Pelodiscus sinensis: one gene and its partner. The protein of the gene in region 2 interacts with the protein of the main gene of each other region in a biochemical or structural test. Links are inferred from orthologs where the notes say so. Each region holds a gene or a part of one and is shown on either strand. Other genes may lie near its edges.

What was found.
Region 1: the proteins of DNM1L (region 2) and FIS1 form a complex in vitro, tested with the Homo sapiens proteins (2 studies listed by BioGRID). The link is inferred for Pelodiscus sinensis from reciprocal best matches to the Homo sapiens genes DNM1L and FIS1.

What each region holds. Positions count from the first base shown.
Region 1 is NC_134734.1:11,581,135-11,588,609, forward strand, and holds the start of FIS1 (mitochondrial fission 1 protein), read right to left. Parts: upstream 3,017-7,475; 5' UTR 3,016-3,016; coding exon 2,860-3,015; intron 1-2,859. Other genes in the region: snaclec alboaggregin-A subunit alpha-like, read right to left, coding at 7,362-7,432. UniProt on the Homo sapiens protein: Involved in the fragmentation of the mitochondrial network and its perinuclear clustering. Plays a minor role in the recruitment and association of the fission mediator dynamin-related protein 1 (DNM1L) to the mitochondrial surface and mitochondrial fission.
Region 2 is NC_134711.1:105,496,782-105,504,734, forward strand, and holds the start of DNM1L (dynamin-1-like protein), read right to left. Parts: upstream 3,013-7,953; 5' UTR 2,876-3,012; coding exon 2,774-2,875; intron 1-2,773. UniProt on the Homo sapiens protein: Functions in mitochondrial and peroxisomal division.

The sequences.
Region 1 (7,475 bases), on a different chromosome or scaffold from region 2:
ACAGCCATGCAGCACTGCTTTCCCTTCACTCTGGCCTCCATAAACATCTTTGTGAAACCACAGATGCTTAAGTCAGGAAAAGAACCTTTCCCAGCCTCCTCAATCTCATAATGAAGGGAACAGAGAGCTATTCCATTTATAAAAGAGCTAATTACTGACTGACTCAGAAGCAGGCCGTGTGCAAGACTCAGAGCTGGCAACTTTAAGTAATCAGAACCCCCTTGGGAAAGCAGTCCATCCCTTGACATCTTCCAAATCAGACTTTCTAGAAGATGTTTTAGTCATACACAAGTTCTTGGACTCAATCCAAGGGAGAACTGGGCAAAAACTGTCAGTGTTTCTCAACCTTTTTGATACCAGTGACTAGCCTACTGCCTTCCTAAACTGTGTCAGGGGAATATGATGGACTGGTGCCAGTCCACGGATCAGCCATTGAGAAACATAGGATTAGATGACCCAAGGTCCCTCTGGATCTACATGCAAGTCTTTCCACTGGGTTGCAGTCAGCTTTCAATGCCAGTGTAGGGCCTTTGCCGTAATCCTCAAAGCTATCAATGGATCAAAACCCAAAGTCCAAGAGCCCTTTATGAAAAGAGACCTATTGCTTGAAAATCAACTGCAGCCAAAATGACACCTCTTTCTACGCAATTAACTAACTCCCAGACAAGTAAAACAAAGCCATTTCCCAAATTACCAACTATTTCTGAAACATAGTATGGGGAGGGGGTAATTTCTTAAAAAACCCACAACCAAAGAGCCTCCTCTAACCAGAGCTTTGACTTCACAAAGGAAGAATGCACCAGACACACCATCAAGTGCACTAGGGTCTTGGCCGATATCCAGACATTATGGTGACTGTTAGCAGAAGAGACCTCTAAAATAGGTGGAAAAGGCCTATGCCATCTAGACAAAATCCAGTGGAAATGAAGATTATAGGGGTTTTCTAACAGGGCAGCAACTTTGCAGGTGTGGTCCCTAGAAAGGGAGAGAGAAACAGAGTGATTTTTTTTGCTTGTGGTAAGGCCAAATTTATAACAAGGATCACAAAAAGAACTAGCTACGTTCCTAGAGGAGGGTCCATCGATGGCTATTAGCCAAAGGATGCAACCCCATGCTGCAAATGTCCCTAAACCTCTGATGGCCGGAAGTTGGGACAAGATGACAGGGGATGGACCATTCAATAAATCTCCCTGTCCTGTTCATTCTCTCTGAAGCACCTGGCACCTGCCGCAGTCTGAACACAGGACACTGGGCTAGCTGGACTATTGGTCTGGTCCAGCGTGGCTGTTCTGATGTTCGGTTGAACAGCTCTTCCAGAAAGGCAGCCAAGCAGGGTCTGAATACACAAATTTGTTACAATAGATAATCAGTCTAATTGAAAACACCAGTGCTTATTTTTTGGGGGGGTTGGTGGGATTAAGTCCATTTCACCCCACACCAGCCACACCCATCTGAGACATAGCTAACACATACAGATGTGGAGTCTCACTTTGTACAGGCTACTCTCTCACTTCGGGGCCCTTTCCAAGCTGTTCATGCTGATAGCGAGGGAAAAGCCTCTGCAAAGCCCCAGAGTTTTACACAGGGCTCTGCTTTCCTGATCCCCACCCCAATATAACCATCCCTGAAGCCACATATACCGCATGTCCTTTCCCACACAAATACTAGGGCAGGTCGTTTACATAGCTTAAGATATCCCAAGAAGGGAGCAAGAGCCCCATCCATCCCTTCCTTCTCCCTGCCCCTCACACTGTTAGAGGCATCTGACTTGCAGCAAGGTATTCATGGGGAGGGGGGAGGAGCAAAAAGGTAGAACAGCCCAGAATTTTGCTTTTAGGAAGCGCTCCCTACAGCCTAAAGGCCAAGGACATCAGGCATATGCAGGAGGGAAAAGTGGTAAAACCCAAACTTACATGCACTTGCTCCATAGTATAGTCGTTTAACCAACTAGCAAAAGCTTATCGGTTAATGCAATAGACTATACACATTCCCCTTCCAACCCCCCACCGGTAAACTGTTTAGAAGGCTGGCCAGCAGCCCAGCTCAGTTCTGGCTCATGCCGGGTCCAGGAACTTAGACCCCCTCCCCCAGACAGAAGCTGCTGCCACCCTGTGCTGCTGCCCTTGTAACAGAGGCAAACAATTTAAAGGGTTATGGGAAGCAGATACAACTGCCAGTAAGGCCTGGGGAGAGGGATGGGGAGGGAGCAGAAACTCCAGAAGGGAGAGAGCCATAGGGGAGTGGCCATAGAGCAGAGGGACTCCTTGAGCAGGACCATGGGATAGTCTTGGAGAGTGAAATAAACTAAAGGTTCAGGATGGGATTACACGCTGGGGCAGATAGGTTCCAGGTGACGGGATCCTGATAGGATGGGGGCCTGAAAGAGAGCAGGTCCCTATGAGGGGTGGTTGCCAGGTCGAAGGGGGCTGAGCCTGGGGAAGATCTGGGGCCTAGGCTAAAGTCTCAGGACAGAGGATCTTGGGAGGGGGGGATGCCTACAAGGTGGAGCTCAGGCCCCAGAGGTGGGGAGCTTTGGGCGGGGGGGGGGAAAGGGGGCTGGACTTGATGACCTCCTGAGATCTCTTCCAACCCAAGGATTCTGGGGGGGAGGGGTGAAGAGTGCAGGGCAGTATTTCCCGAGGGGGAGGGGGACACGGCCCTGGAAGGCCCAGGTCAGTGAGGGAGTGGGCCAGGACGCAATGGGAGGGGGGGTGGAAGGGGACACTGGGCAGGAGACCCTGGGGGAGGGGCGGGATGTTGACTAGGGGACCCTCGACGGAGTGGGGGGCGGGGCTGAGGTTTGGGGGAACGCGGGGGGGGGGGGAGAATAGGGACTCTCCAGGGGGCGGGGCCTCTCACCAGCAGGTCCTCCACCGCCACCACTTCGCTCAACACCGACTCCATGGCGCCCCCGCCCCCCGGCACTGACCCGCCGCGCGCCCCGGAACGGGAAACACACCACACAGGGTCCCGCCCACTCATACGCCCCGCCCCCCCCTCCCGGCAGCTGCGCATGCGCCGCCTGGCCCCGAGACGGGAGGGGCAGGGAGGGAAGGGCTTGTTTGTCCCAAAGCGACAGCAGTCGCGGCCCCTCAGTTCCCGCCCAATCCTGTTCCAATGGCGGTGGGAGAGGCGATTACGCCTGCGTAGCGCGGGGCTAGGCCGAGCAGGGAGCTGCGCATGCGTACGGGATTGGCGGCGTTCGAGTCCGCTTAGTGACGTTGGGACTGGTCACGCCCTCATGGGCGGGCCCTTCTTCACCATGGCAACGAGACGCTGCGGCAGGGACCCCTCCCTCGTGTGGAGGCGTGTCCAGAATCTCATTCTCATAACAGCAAACCTGCCAGTCTAAGGGGGCAGTAAGGCTCCCTGGCTGCCCATCCTGGGCGATGAGCCCCCTTGGGGGAGGCAGACACTCAAAGGGTATCTCCAAGAAACTGTTTGAAAGTGGGGTGTAGAAGTGAAACACCCCCCACCCCTCATACTTCCCTGGAAACAAGGGTGGTAACACCCCTCCTTCCCCCCCCCACACCCAGTCCCTCCTCCCACATTAGACACATCAGACCAAGAGGAACTGCCTCCACCCTACCACATACACAAAAAAGGCAGGCGCCAGTTCAGGCCCATTTTTTCCCCTACTGTCCTGATATCCATATCTGCTGCTCTGTTCGTCAGATCCCTTTCCCCAAAGGGCACAGAGAACCCAGGAGTCCTGGCTCCCAGCTCTAACCCTCCTGCCCCCTCTCCTCTCCTAGAGCTGAGAAGAGACCCCAGGAGACAGTCCTGGCTCCCACCCTACTCCAAACTGCCACATCCCACTCCCCTCCCAGGCAAGGTGATGAGATGGAAAAGAGAGCCAGGACTCCCCTGCCAACACTGTGGAGATATGTTTACTTCAGACTTTGCATGCAGCACAGTGGGGCCCAGATTTCCAGGGCACAAGCTGGGCGCATAGTTCCCAACAGGGTGCGCGCTTGTGCGGCATGCAGGAAGAATTTAAGACATGCCCACCTCATTAGCAGAGCCACGCAGCAGCTCCTTCCAGCCTCTTGTCTCCCCCCCCCCCCATCCGTCGCAACAAGCCCTGGCCTCCTCTTTGGCTCCCCCATCCTTGTTCCTGGCCTCTTGGCCCCCCCTATTCCTTCCCTCTCCAGCTGCAGCCAACCCCGGCCACCTCCTCCCCTCGGCCCTCTCAGCCCCCCTCTGGCCACGGGAGGAAGGCCCAGGCTGAGACAGAGGGCAGTGGTAGCAGCAGCTTCTCACTGCACTGGTGGCCCCTGACGCTCTGGTACCCAGCAGGTAACTGCCGCCTCTGGTTGCTCCGGCCAGGCACACTGGGGCCTCCATGTGCCTGGAGCATCTGCCTGGAACCCTCCCTTCCTCCTGCCCCGCAAGATTAACGCACCAGCTAGGATTGCCAGTGTCCGGTTTTGAACCAGACAGTTCGGTATTTGAGCTTTCTGTCCAGGAAACAATTTGAGAAATACTGAACATATAAATGTCCGGTATTTTCTAATTAAATACGTTTTATTATTATCATGAGTATCAGTACGTAGTTGCGTACTGCCTGGCTGGTAGATGTGCCCACGCTGCGCGAGTGTGTCTACCAGCCAGGCAGTAGGCAAATATGCAGTGGAGGGCGGGGAGAGGAAGGGGGGCTGGGGCAAGATGGAACATGCCTGTGCGCCCCGCTAGTACCGGACAGGCAGCGCCCCGGGATCTGCATGTGCCCGAGCCAGCCCCTCTTCCCACAGGCCAGTCCACTCCACCCCGCTCTTCCCCCCGGCCAGTCCTGCTCCCCCCAACCCTGTCCTGGCCAGCCCTACTCCCCGCTGGCCATTCCCCCCCTCCCGATCTCCCCCAGTCATAGCCACTCCCCCCGACCCCCTCCAGACCAGCCCTGCTTCCCACCAGCCGGTTCCCCCCCCGATATCCCCCGCCAGCCCTGCTCCCCCTCACCTCCTCCCAACCAGCCCTGCTCCCCACTGGCCAGTTCCCCCCGATCTCTCCTGCCAGCCCCACTCCCCCTGACCCCCTCCTGACCAGCTTTGCTCCCCACCGGCCAGTTCCCCCCCAATCTCTCCTACCAGCCCCGCTCCCCCCGCGGCCGGGTCCGCCCCCCGCATCTGAGATCAAGTGTGTCCGATATTTTTGTCAAAACCATCTGGCAATGCTAGCACCGGCTTCCTGCAAGTGGGGGGGGGGGGGGGAGAAAACCCCAACCCGCCACGCTGGAGGCATCTGGTGGAGAAGCGCACGCGCTGCTGTGGGGAGGGCTGGGGGCTCCTTCCCCTCAACTGAAGCGCTAATCTTGGGAGGGTTCCAGGTAGGAACTCCAGGCATGTGGTGGCCCCAGTGTGCCTGGCCCAAGCAGCTGGAGGTGGCAGTTCCCCTGGGTCCTGCCAGCACAGCAAGGAGCCATTGCTGCTGCCCCCTGGTTCTCCTTCAGGGAAGCCGGGGGCCAGCAGGAAGTCCAAGGGGGGAGTGCGGAGAACAACCCTGAGCCATGGCCGCATTTTCCCTTTCTGGGGACTCTATTGGGGTTGGGGGGCAGGGTGATGTAGAGTGACGTGATGGCGTCATTCTGTTGCCCTGTAGGAAGAACTTTCTTTAATATATAGAGAGAAAATATGCAGAAGGATTTAATTCCTCAATCTTTCCACGGAGCTGATGTGCACCAGCTTTGATGAATGTACGATTTGTGATTTGTAAACCACTGAAATATTTAAAACAAACCCTGTTTCCTAGATAACTGTTAGATGGTGGCCGAGGTAATGAATGGTCTGTGAGCTCTATCACATCCGAGTCTTTAACTGCTAGGACAGAGTCCCTTCGCAGCGGGCAGCCAGGGAGGCTGACGGGTGCTCCAAGGTGGTGCAGAGAGAGCTCGTTACACCTGAGACTTCAACTGCTAGGACAAAAGTCCCTTCACAGCGGGCAGCCAGGGAGGCTGACAGGCACCCCAAGAGTCTGCCCTGTGGAGGCGGCACGACTCAACGCTCAGCTCTTACTGCGTTTACCCCTGACCAGCTATGGTTCTTTTTTATTGTGTTTGGTTCTGTTACAGCAACAGGAGGAGTCAAGTTAAAGCTTAAACAGTTACTATTTTATTGTTACAAGGCAAGCTTAGCTGTTAAATGTTACTGCTGTGTTACAGATAACGCAGCCACTACAAAAGACAACACAGAAAATACAATGAAAAGTCACTTAAAGGTACCATGAAACCCTTTTGGTTCTCTGAGCTCTTATTGAATGCGCACAAACAGACACCTAGCAGACACCCCTGCAATCCTTACTCCAGCAAAGCCAGCGTTTCTCTCAATACCAACGGGAAGCAGTCGATATGAGACGAAGGCGTCCCTAAAGTCTCAGGGGTCCAAAACCACCTGACCAGCAGGTATATGGATGGATCTCCAATTAGAGTGGAGCACAGGGCCCCACTTTATACCCCTGTGGTCATGTAGACGCTTCTCTTATCATTAAAATGCCAATTAAGTTGGAACGTCTTTGTGACGCCCATTCCCACAGGGGGTCCGAAGCTTAATTTGCACCTGTGAGGTGGAGGTAACTAAATCATTAGGGCCAGACAGTCTTTCTGATGGGGTGGCAGATTCCTCTTCTGTGTGTGTAGGCGTATCAATACTGGTACCAGCCAAGGGCAGCTCAAGGCCCCGATCGCCTGCTGGCCCAATCCCCCCTGTTATCTGGTTCCTGTCTAGCAGGGCCATTGTTATTCCAGCACCTCTGGAGGCCCTGGAGCCTTTGAAGACAGAGTTTCGCTCTCAAGGATTCTCTCTCTCAAGGATGTCAGAGAGAGGAGGGGAGAGGGGGGCGGGGTTTCTGTCTGGCTACAATAACAGGGAGCAATATGTGCACATAGTGCTCAGAAATGAGCCCATTAAATAACATACACTTTATGCTTGAAATGCAAGATTACAGTGATAACTATTTCGTTTCATGTATCAATTATAATCATAAACTATTTTCTTTGTTATATCAAGAAAATGGACAATTTTGTTTTATGCCTCAAAGGAACGGATACATGTAAGATACCAAATGGCTACTGAACATTTTGCAGTATATATATATATAATATTTAAAATGTTATAGAAGATATTTATAGTCACTGGCAGACGCCACGGTGGAACACATCTGCACAAGCGCACATGACCTCAGTATTGGTGCACATAACAAAACTCACTCCGGTCATGGATGGAAAATCTCAGTGGGAACAGTGGTTGGGGGCAGATTCACCCCAGTTTTGAGCAAATCCAGGGGGGCAGTGTGCAGCCACCACACATCAACCAGTGGGGCAGCATAGCCAAACCCAGCTGGTACCTCCAAGATGGCCTTCAAGCCCTTCAGTCCAGCGAGCGTTTGCAGACGGACATGAACTCCAAGGAATTTTCATAGTTATCCCAAGTGATAGCATCTGTAGGGAAGTGAGAATCAGTGAGAATAGGCGGGGAGCCAGG
Region 2 (7,953 bases):
GAGCAATGGGAGGAGACATGGCAGCAGAGAGAAAAAGCAGAGGTTTATAAGATACTTATTAATAACCTGGGTGATATTTATTAATAACTTATTAGTAATTACTGTTCTTATTCTTATTAGGAATTTATGCCATTAAAAAAAACCACTTTGTGGGGGAGCGTGGCAAGTCCCTTTTTTGTCTGGCGAGTAGGGTTTTCCATAATTTATCAACCCTTGGCCATTACGTTTTAAAAGGGTCACTATCTCCCCAGGTGGCTCTGCCTCTCCTCCTCCCCCCGTTTTTGAACTACCTTGGGTCACCAAGTCTTCCTGAATTGTCAAAATGGGTCCCCATCTCGAAAAGGTTGGGAACCGCTGCCCTAAAGCCTAGAGAGAGGAACAAGCTTGAAAGCCAGAGATCCTGCCTGAATCTGAATGTCTATATGTTTATTTTTAATGCTTCAGCTCAAGCTCCAGTCTGAACACACAGGCTCAGACTCACGGTCATGAGATCCTGCTTGTGATGGAGATGTACCAATCCTGCAGGTGAGTCCATGTAGCTAGATCCATGTAACACAGCTGTACCCATGGAAAGCTCCACTGAAGTCAGCAGGGATTCAAGAGTCTGTTCTAAGGATGTTAAAATGTGGTTAATTGACTAGTCAACAGGCACTTCCACACTCCTCCTTTGAAGTGTACAAGAGCCCCCGCAGGAATGCAGAACTCTGCATACAACCTGGGGCCAGAGGGAAGTCCCTCTGATTCTGGGCTGCACACAGGTGCCTGCTTTGAAATGCACAGGAGACCCCAGGGGCTCTTGTGCATATCAAATACATGGAGCCCAGAATCAGCAAGAGACTCCGAGTCCTTCGGGATCAGCGCTGCAGATTTTGGGTTCTGGAGAAATGCCACTGGGAATCCCCAGCTGATCCCAGGCTCTATGGCAGCTACCCCTTTAAAATGCCGCTTCTGGCATTTCAAAGGGGTAGCTGCTGTGGAGCCCAGGGTCAGCTGGAGACTCCCAGTTGATCCGGGCTCTGTGCAACAGCAGAACCCAGGGTCAGCTAGGGACTCCCAGCTGATCCCGGGCTCGCTGTGGCAGCGGAACCCAGGGTCAGCTGGAGAGTCCCCAACTGTGCAGCACTGCCACTTTTAAGTACCTTTCCCCCCACTGCCTCTCTCTCATAGAGGCAGCGGGGAGCAGGGGGGAATCGACTAGTCAAAAGACTATCTGATAAGTTTATCGGATAATTAACTAGTCTTTAACATTTCTAGTCTGTTCACGTAGCTATACCACAAAGTAAAGCCAAAATATATAGGCACTGCCTAATTTCTATTCCAGTTGCTATTATCATTACAGGGATATGGTCAACTTACATAGCTACGGTAAACCTTTCCTTTTTAACCCACAGAGTGCCTTAAATTACTACATAAAAATGAAAGGTTTTTAAAAATTGAATTTAGTTGGTAACTAAATATGTGCTTCACTTTCTGCATTCTTCCAAGTGTAGAAAATGAAAAAAAAAACAACAGTTCTACTACTGTTAACTCCTTTCACTTTCAGTGTCCTTGTACTCAACACTTGGGTTTCAAACACAGCTAGGGATGTGAAAGATTAAGCAAAATGCAGGACAATGTAGCACTTTAAAGACTAACAAGATGGTTTATTAGATGATGAGCTTTCGTGGGCCAGACCCACTTCCTCAGATCAAATAGTGGAAGAAAGGTTGTGACTACTTTCTTCCACTATTTGATCTGAGGAAGCGGGTCTGGCCCACGAAAGCTCATCATCTAATAAACCATCTTGTTAGTCTTTAAAGTGCTACATTGTCCTGCATTTTGCTTCAGCTACCCCAGACTAACACGGCTACATTTCTATCACTACTCAAAGATTAAGCTGTAAGCCTTGCCCTTAATGGGTGAAGCTTACTGGTGACAGGGTAAGGGATAGGGGCTGGAGCTGGGGGCTGAAGCAGCAGAGCCACAGCAGGCCCAGCTCAGGCATGCAGCAGGGGTGCTCCAGCCTGGCCAAAGAAGATGGAATAGCGGTTTGCTTCAGACCCCCCCCCCTCCTTTAACTAATTACATGGGATTTTACACCCCTACACTACACAGGAAGCTTTTTCTAAGAACTATTTCTCAGTCTGATCAGGATAACTTAGGAGCGGTCTCTAGTTTGATAACTTGCCTTAAAGAAAATGATACGCCACCCGTAAGCAGGTAGCATGCCTTGAAATAATAGTACGTTTAAAAAAAAAACAAAACCTATTAGCAGGGCTTCACTCAAACAGTCATTTGTTGCAACGGCTTTGAGCCAACCCCGGGTTGTGGTTTTTAAACCCTTGCACCCAGGGGCCATGTACCACCACAGAGTCACATACCTGCAGGGGATCTTCAACGTCCCCACGTGAGAGGAGAGCAGAGCGACGCGGGGGGGGGGGGGGGACGGACAGATGTTGCGTTAGGGGGAGGCGCCTGGCCAGCGCCGAGCTTCCTCCTACACCCCCCTTCCCAACGGCGCGCGCGGCCGCAGCAGCAGGAAGGTCAAGCCCAGGCTCGAGCGGGGGCCTAGCGGCGGGCCCGACGCGGCAGGCGGGGGGCAGCAGCGCAGTCACCTTCAGCGGGCGCCGGCCACTTCCCGCCCCCCGCCGAAAGGGGAACAGCCCTGCCGGGGCCGGGCGCTCCCCTGGGGGCGGGGCCGGGCGCCCCCGCAGGCTGGCGGGGCCCACGCGAGGCCAGCCCCCCCCATTCACTCTCTGCTGCCCTTCCCCGCGCAGGGGCCGGGCCCGCTCACCTGCGTCCCCACCACCACGATCTGCGGCAGCTGGATGATGTCGGCGCCCACGGCGTTGAACACGTCCTGCAGCTTGTTGATCACCGGGATCAGCGCCTCCATGGCGGCGGGGCGCGCGGCGGCGGCGATGAATGGAGCCCGCGGCCAACGGCTCTATCGCCTCCTGCTCCCCCCTCCCTCGGCCGCTCTCCACCACGGGCGCCGGCCCCGCGCCCAGCTCGGCCTCAGCAGGCTGTGTGCGCGCGCGCGCCGCCCGCCCTCCGCGGGTCGCGGCCGCCGCAAAGCCCGTCGGGAGTTGTAGTGCCCCGCGCCTGGCAGCGGCGCCCCCGCGTGGTTCCCAGCGGCAGCGCCGGGCGGAGCAGAGGCGAGCACCCCCTCTGCGGGAGCGGGAAAGAAATGTTACCCCCGCCGCCTCCCGCCATAGACCGCCAATCAGCAAACAGCTTCTGTGCTACCGAGCTGCTGGAGCTGCTGCGGATGGGCCCGCTCCAGGTTGCAGCACGAAGAGCCGCAAAAGCAGGTGTATAGGCAGAAAGTGCTACTCAGCGCCTGTACTGTAACAATTGGTATTAATAGGACAGGGGCACTGGAACGAAGTCGCTGGAAATCCCACGACTAACCCAACCTCTGATCCTGCTCCAGCCGTGCAGTAGGTCTCTGGTGCCATGGGTTACCCCTGGGCCCCAGGGGCCTGGTCTACCCAGAAATTAAAGATTACTTTGTTTAAAAATTATTCCTATAAGATTACAAAACGACCAGGAATTAATCCAACCCCACTATGCAACTCTACCCTGCAGTTTCTGCAGCACGTTTCTTCTCTCTATGGCAAAGCCCGTCACCATACTTACAAAATGCCCTTGTCCCTTTCCAGGGTACAGATGTTCAGTAATGGGAAAGAAAAAAATACACTACTGAAGATACCCCCTACCCCAAAAAAGTTTTCCTCAAACTGCTGCAAGACTACAACTGTGCACAACTGCAAGTTTTCTTCTGGTTGTAGGAGTTATTTTCAGTAGTCACTGAAAGAAAGTGGCACATTAGGCTACCACACAACTCAGAGACTAATGAACCCCAATCAGCACAGACAGTACAATAGAGAAATATGTACACAATGTCTCTGAAATGAACTTCTAGGAGAAAATCTGGTTGTAAAAACAAGTGCATATCTATGCTATAATTTCCATTGTTTCCACAGATGCAACTGCACCTGTTGCACATAGACTTCAGCCGTGTATAGCGCTCTATTAATACAAGTAACGAAAAATGATTACATAAGCATTACCACTGAAGCAACTTGTCTGAGAGCAAGTTGTTGCACTGGTAAAAGGACATTGACCTTGCAAGTCATCCAAGGAGGAAAAAGAGGGTAGTGAGAGGGATATGAAAGTACCATAACAGAATAAACATTAATTTTTGTAACTGTCACATTCAGATACTGGTCTAAAATTTCACCAAACCAGAAGTAAAGCTGAGGAAGTGTTCCAGCTCAGATCCATTGTACCAGGACTCATGAGGGCAACTGCTTGTCATCTTCTCTGCATCATTCTTATTCCCAGTCAGTAGGATGTATTTTCCAACTGCATTTGGATTTACTATCTTTTTATGTTTTTACAAGTGAGGCATCTATTATAGCAACATTATAACTACTGGAATTATTATTTCACAATAAAAGTTTAAGGCAAAAATGAACTAATTTTAAACCAACATTCATGGAAGAGAAAGTTAAAGCCAATGCAACTTAAGTGCAGAAAATTGTACTTGAATGACTCTACTCCGTAAGGAAAAGTCCAAAAAAGTCCAAGTTGAATATATTATTTCCAGTAATGATACAGTAATCTGCTGTGATTGTCCTATAGTGGCATCCATTAACTTTTGGAGCACAAACTCAAATATTCCTGCCAGGAAAGAACACTGAAATACTGAACCTGTGAATACAGGTCTGGCTCTGGCACACCACACAGATTCATTCTTACAGCAACCTCAGCTCAATGCTTCACACAATTCTTGGCCACTCTCCTGTTTTTTCTTTACTGGCTGAGTGGCTGACATTCCCAGTAAAGAGAAACCACATGGAACCCACCTTCCCGTTAAGCAAGAAGATAGAAAGTTTTGCATTCCAATCAGCACCCTGAATAGAAGACACCTTTGCTACAAAAGAATGGAGGCTGCTGCCATCTGAAACATATTCTCTATGGGCATGCATAAACATGGTTCTTTCAAAAAAAAAATACACCCTTTCCTATACTCATTTTTGGAGGAGTACAGGATCTTTTGAAAAAGGTTTCCACCCCCACCCTGAAAGATTCAGGTATACATAGCAGTTTCACTTTTGAAATACCCTTTTTCAAAAGAATGCTGTGATGTAATTATGCAAATGAAGCACAGGATATTTAAATTCCCACTTCATTTGCACTTTCAATCTGCCTAATCTACATCCCTCTTTTGAAAGAGGGATGTAGTTAAGACACCCTGTGGTTGCGTCTAGATTGGCATGATTTTGCGCAAATACTTTTAACGGAAAAGTTTTTCTGTTAAAAGTATTTGCGCAAGAGAGCGTTTATACTGGATTGTGCCTTTGCGCAAAAGATTTGCTTTTGTGCAAAAGCATCCATGCCAGTGTAGACGCTCTCTTGTGCAAGAAAACTCCGATGGCCATTTTAGCCATTGAGCTTTCTTGCGCAAGAAATCAACTTGGCTGTCTACACTGGCCCTCTTGCGCAAGAGGGCTTATCCCTGAGTGGGAGCGTTGGAGTATTTGCGCAAGAACCACTAATTTTGAACAGTACAAAGTCAGTATTCTTGTGCAAATACTCGCGGCCAGTGTAGACAGGCGGCAAGATTTTGCCAGTCTGGACGCATCCATTGTGTCTGTCTGTCTGCCATTGTGTCTGTCTCTTTTCTTCTATTAGTTGCATTTCTGACACTTAGTGGCTTGTGAAGATCACTGACAAGGCAGATACAGACTGTTGCAGGAGTGGGCAATAACTTTTGACCAGGAGCCACTTCAAAAATTTCTGAAATTTTTGAAGTGGCCCAGAGCTGCCCTGGAAGGGGCAGGGCCTCAGACAGACAGAGTGGGGCCCCGGCACTTCCATCCTTCCCCACCCACTTACCCTGATTGCCTCCCTATAGAACTGCCAGCTGATAACAGCTGGTGGTTCCCCCTAGGTACCTCTGCTCCTGGCCGTGGGAGGAGTCTTCACATGCTCCTCCTGATGCCCCCAGCTCAATCAGGGCCTGGGAAGGGGGAGCATATGAAGTCTCTCGTTCCCTGCCCCAGCCCTGCAAGGGAGCACCCTGCTTAGAGCCAATCACCAGCTGAGCAGCAGTTGATTTAAGTGCTGAGCCCCTTTCAGGGCAGGAGGAAACTTCACACTCTCCTTCCACCCCTAAGCCTTGATTGTTCTCAGCAGGTGGAGCGCATGAAGTCTCCTCCTGCCCTGCCAGAGTGGAGGCAGAAGGGAAGAGAAGATCTTTTGGGAACTAAAAAGACACTGGAGACATCTAACCGGAGAGGAAAATTAGGAAGGGGAGGAAAAATGAATGTAGATGGAACATGTACAGGAGGGATTAGTCAATTCATCAAAAAGAGAAAGGAAAAGGCAAACAAGGTCACAAATGTTTGTGTCACTATATTTTATTTTTGTGTCAAAGAACTGGGAGTGGGAAAAGAATTTTGTTTTGAGACATTGAAACTCTTGGTGACTCATGAGACACAGCACTTACCTCAGTCCAGTTACAGCAGAGTCCACAAGAAAATCTCAATTTGCTCTAGCTGTCTAAAATATAGATGTCATGGTCACATGCCCCCATGCTTTATGAAAACTGGTTTATAAATATGAATATGCATAACATGAACATGTGTTATGCAAAAGAGATCATGTAGCATATTTTCAAAATTGCAGTCTGCTGAGTCTGTATATCGTATTTTTGTGCGTGTATCATTCTTGTATGCGAAGCTGGAAGTCCGAAGTGTGAATCTGGTTTTAACTGTAAATGTGCTAATGAGGTCCATTAGTGATATTTCAGGTACTTAATGGCTCAGTATTCAAACCGTGACCCATAATTATTTCTTGTAAGCCCAAACACGAGGCTGATCCTAGAAAGACATGTAATCATGTCACCTCATACTGTGTAAACAATTGTCACTGATAAAAAAGGCTGACCTTATGAGCTTTCTCTGTGTAAGTTTTACACAGAGTAAGATTAAATTATTTTAGCTTTTGGTTCCTTTGTGGGGTTGGTTTCCTGGGTGCTACCAGCAGCGTTATAGCTGAGTCCTCACAGAGCTGAGCAGGTTCAGCATCTGTGGTGTTTTGAAGGGTGATTGTAACCCCCAACTCTATGCCTTGGCTGGGGGGAATCAGAGCTTCTGGCCCAGAGGGACAGGGTTGTGAGGATCCCCAGAAGGCAGGCACCAGTGGCTTGATCAGCACATTGGAGGTCAAGCTGTAATACAACCCATCACAATTAAAATTAGGTATGAACAGATTGCGCCCACGAAAGCTCATGATACCATCTACATGTTGTGTTAGTCTGTAAGGTGCTACTAGACTATTTGTTGTTTTTTACTTGTTTATTATTAGCTAATTGAAATTAATATAATGGCAATTGCCATATTGGATCAGACCCAGGGTTATCTAGTTCAGTATCTTGTCTTCAACAGTGGTACCACCAGATGCTTCAAGTGAAGAACAAAAACAAAAGCCAAACCCCAATAACTCACCTTCCCCAAAACAACTAAACAAACAGATATTAGATCATTTATCCACTACATTTGGTCTCATACTGATATCTAATAATTGCAGTTTGGCTTAAGCTCTGAAGCAGAAGGTTTAACATTCTTTCCAACATTTAATTACTTAATACTTAATTATAAACTGGATGTTCTTGTTTTCCATATAAATGTCCAATCTTTGTTTTAATCTTGCCAAGTTCTGGTCTTTAATGATTTCCTGTAACAGTGCATTCGACAGTCAAATTGCACATTGTGTGAAGAAGTATTTCCTTTTATCAGCTTTGAATTTGCTACCTTTTAATTTCATTGAATGTTCCTTTGCTTTCTTGCTCGGAGACAGGAAGAACATAAATTTCCAAATTATCTTCTCTAGATCATTTATTATTCCATATATTTCTATCTCGTGACCACTTACTCATCTCCTTTCTAAAGTAAACAGCCT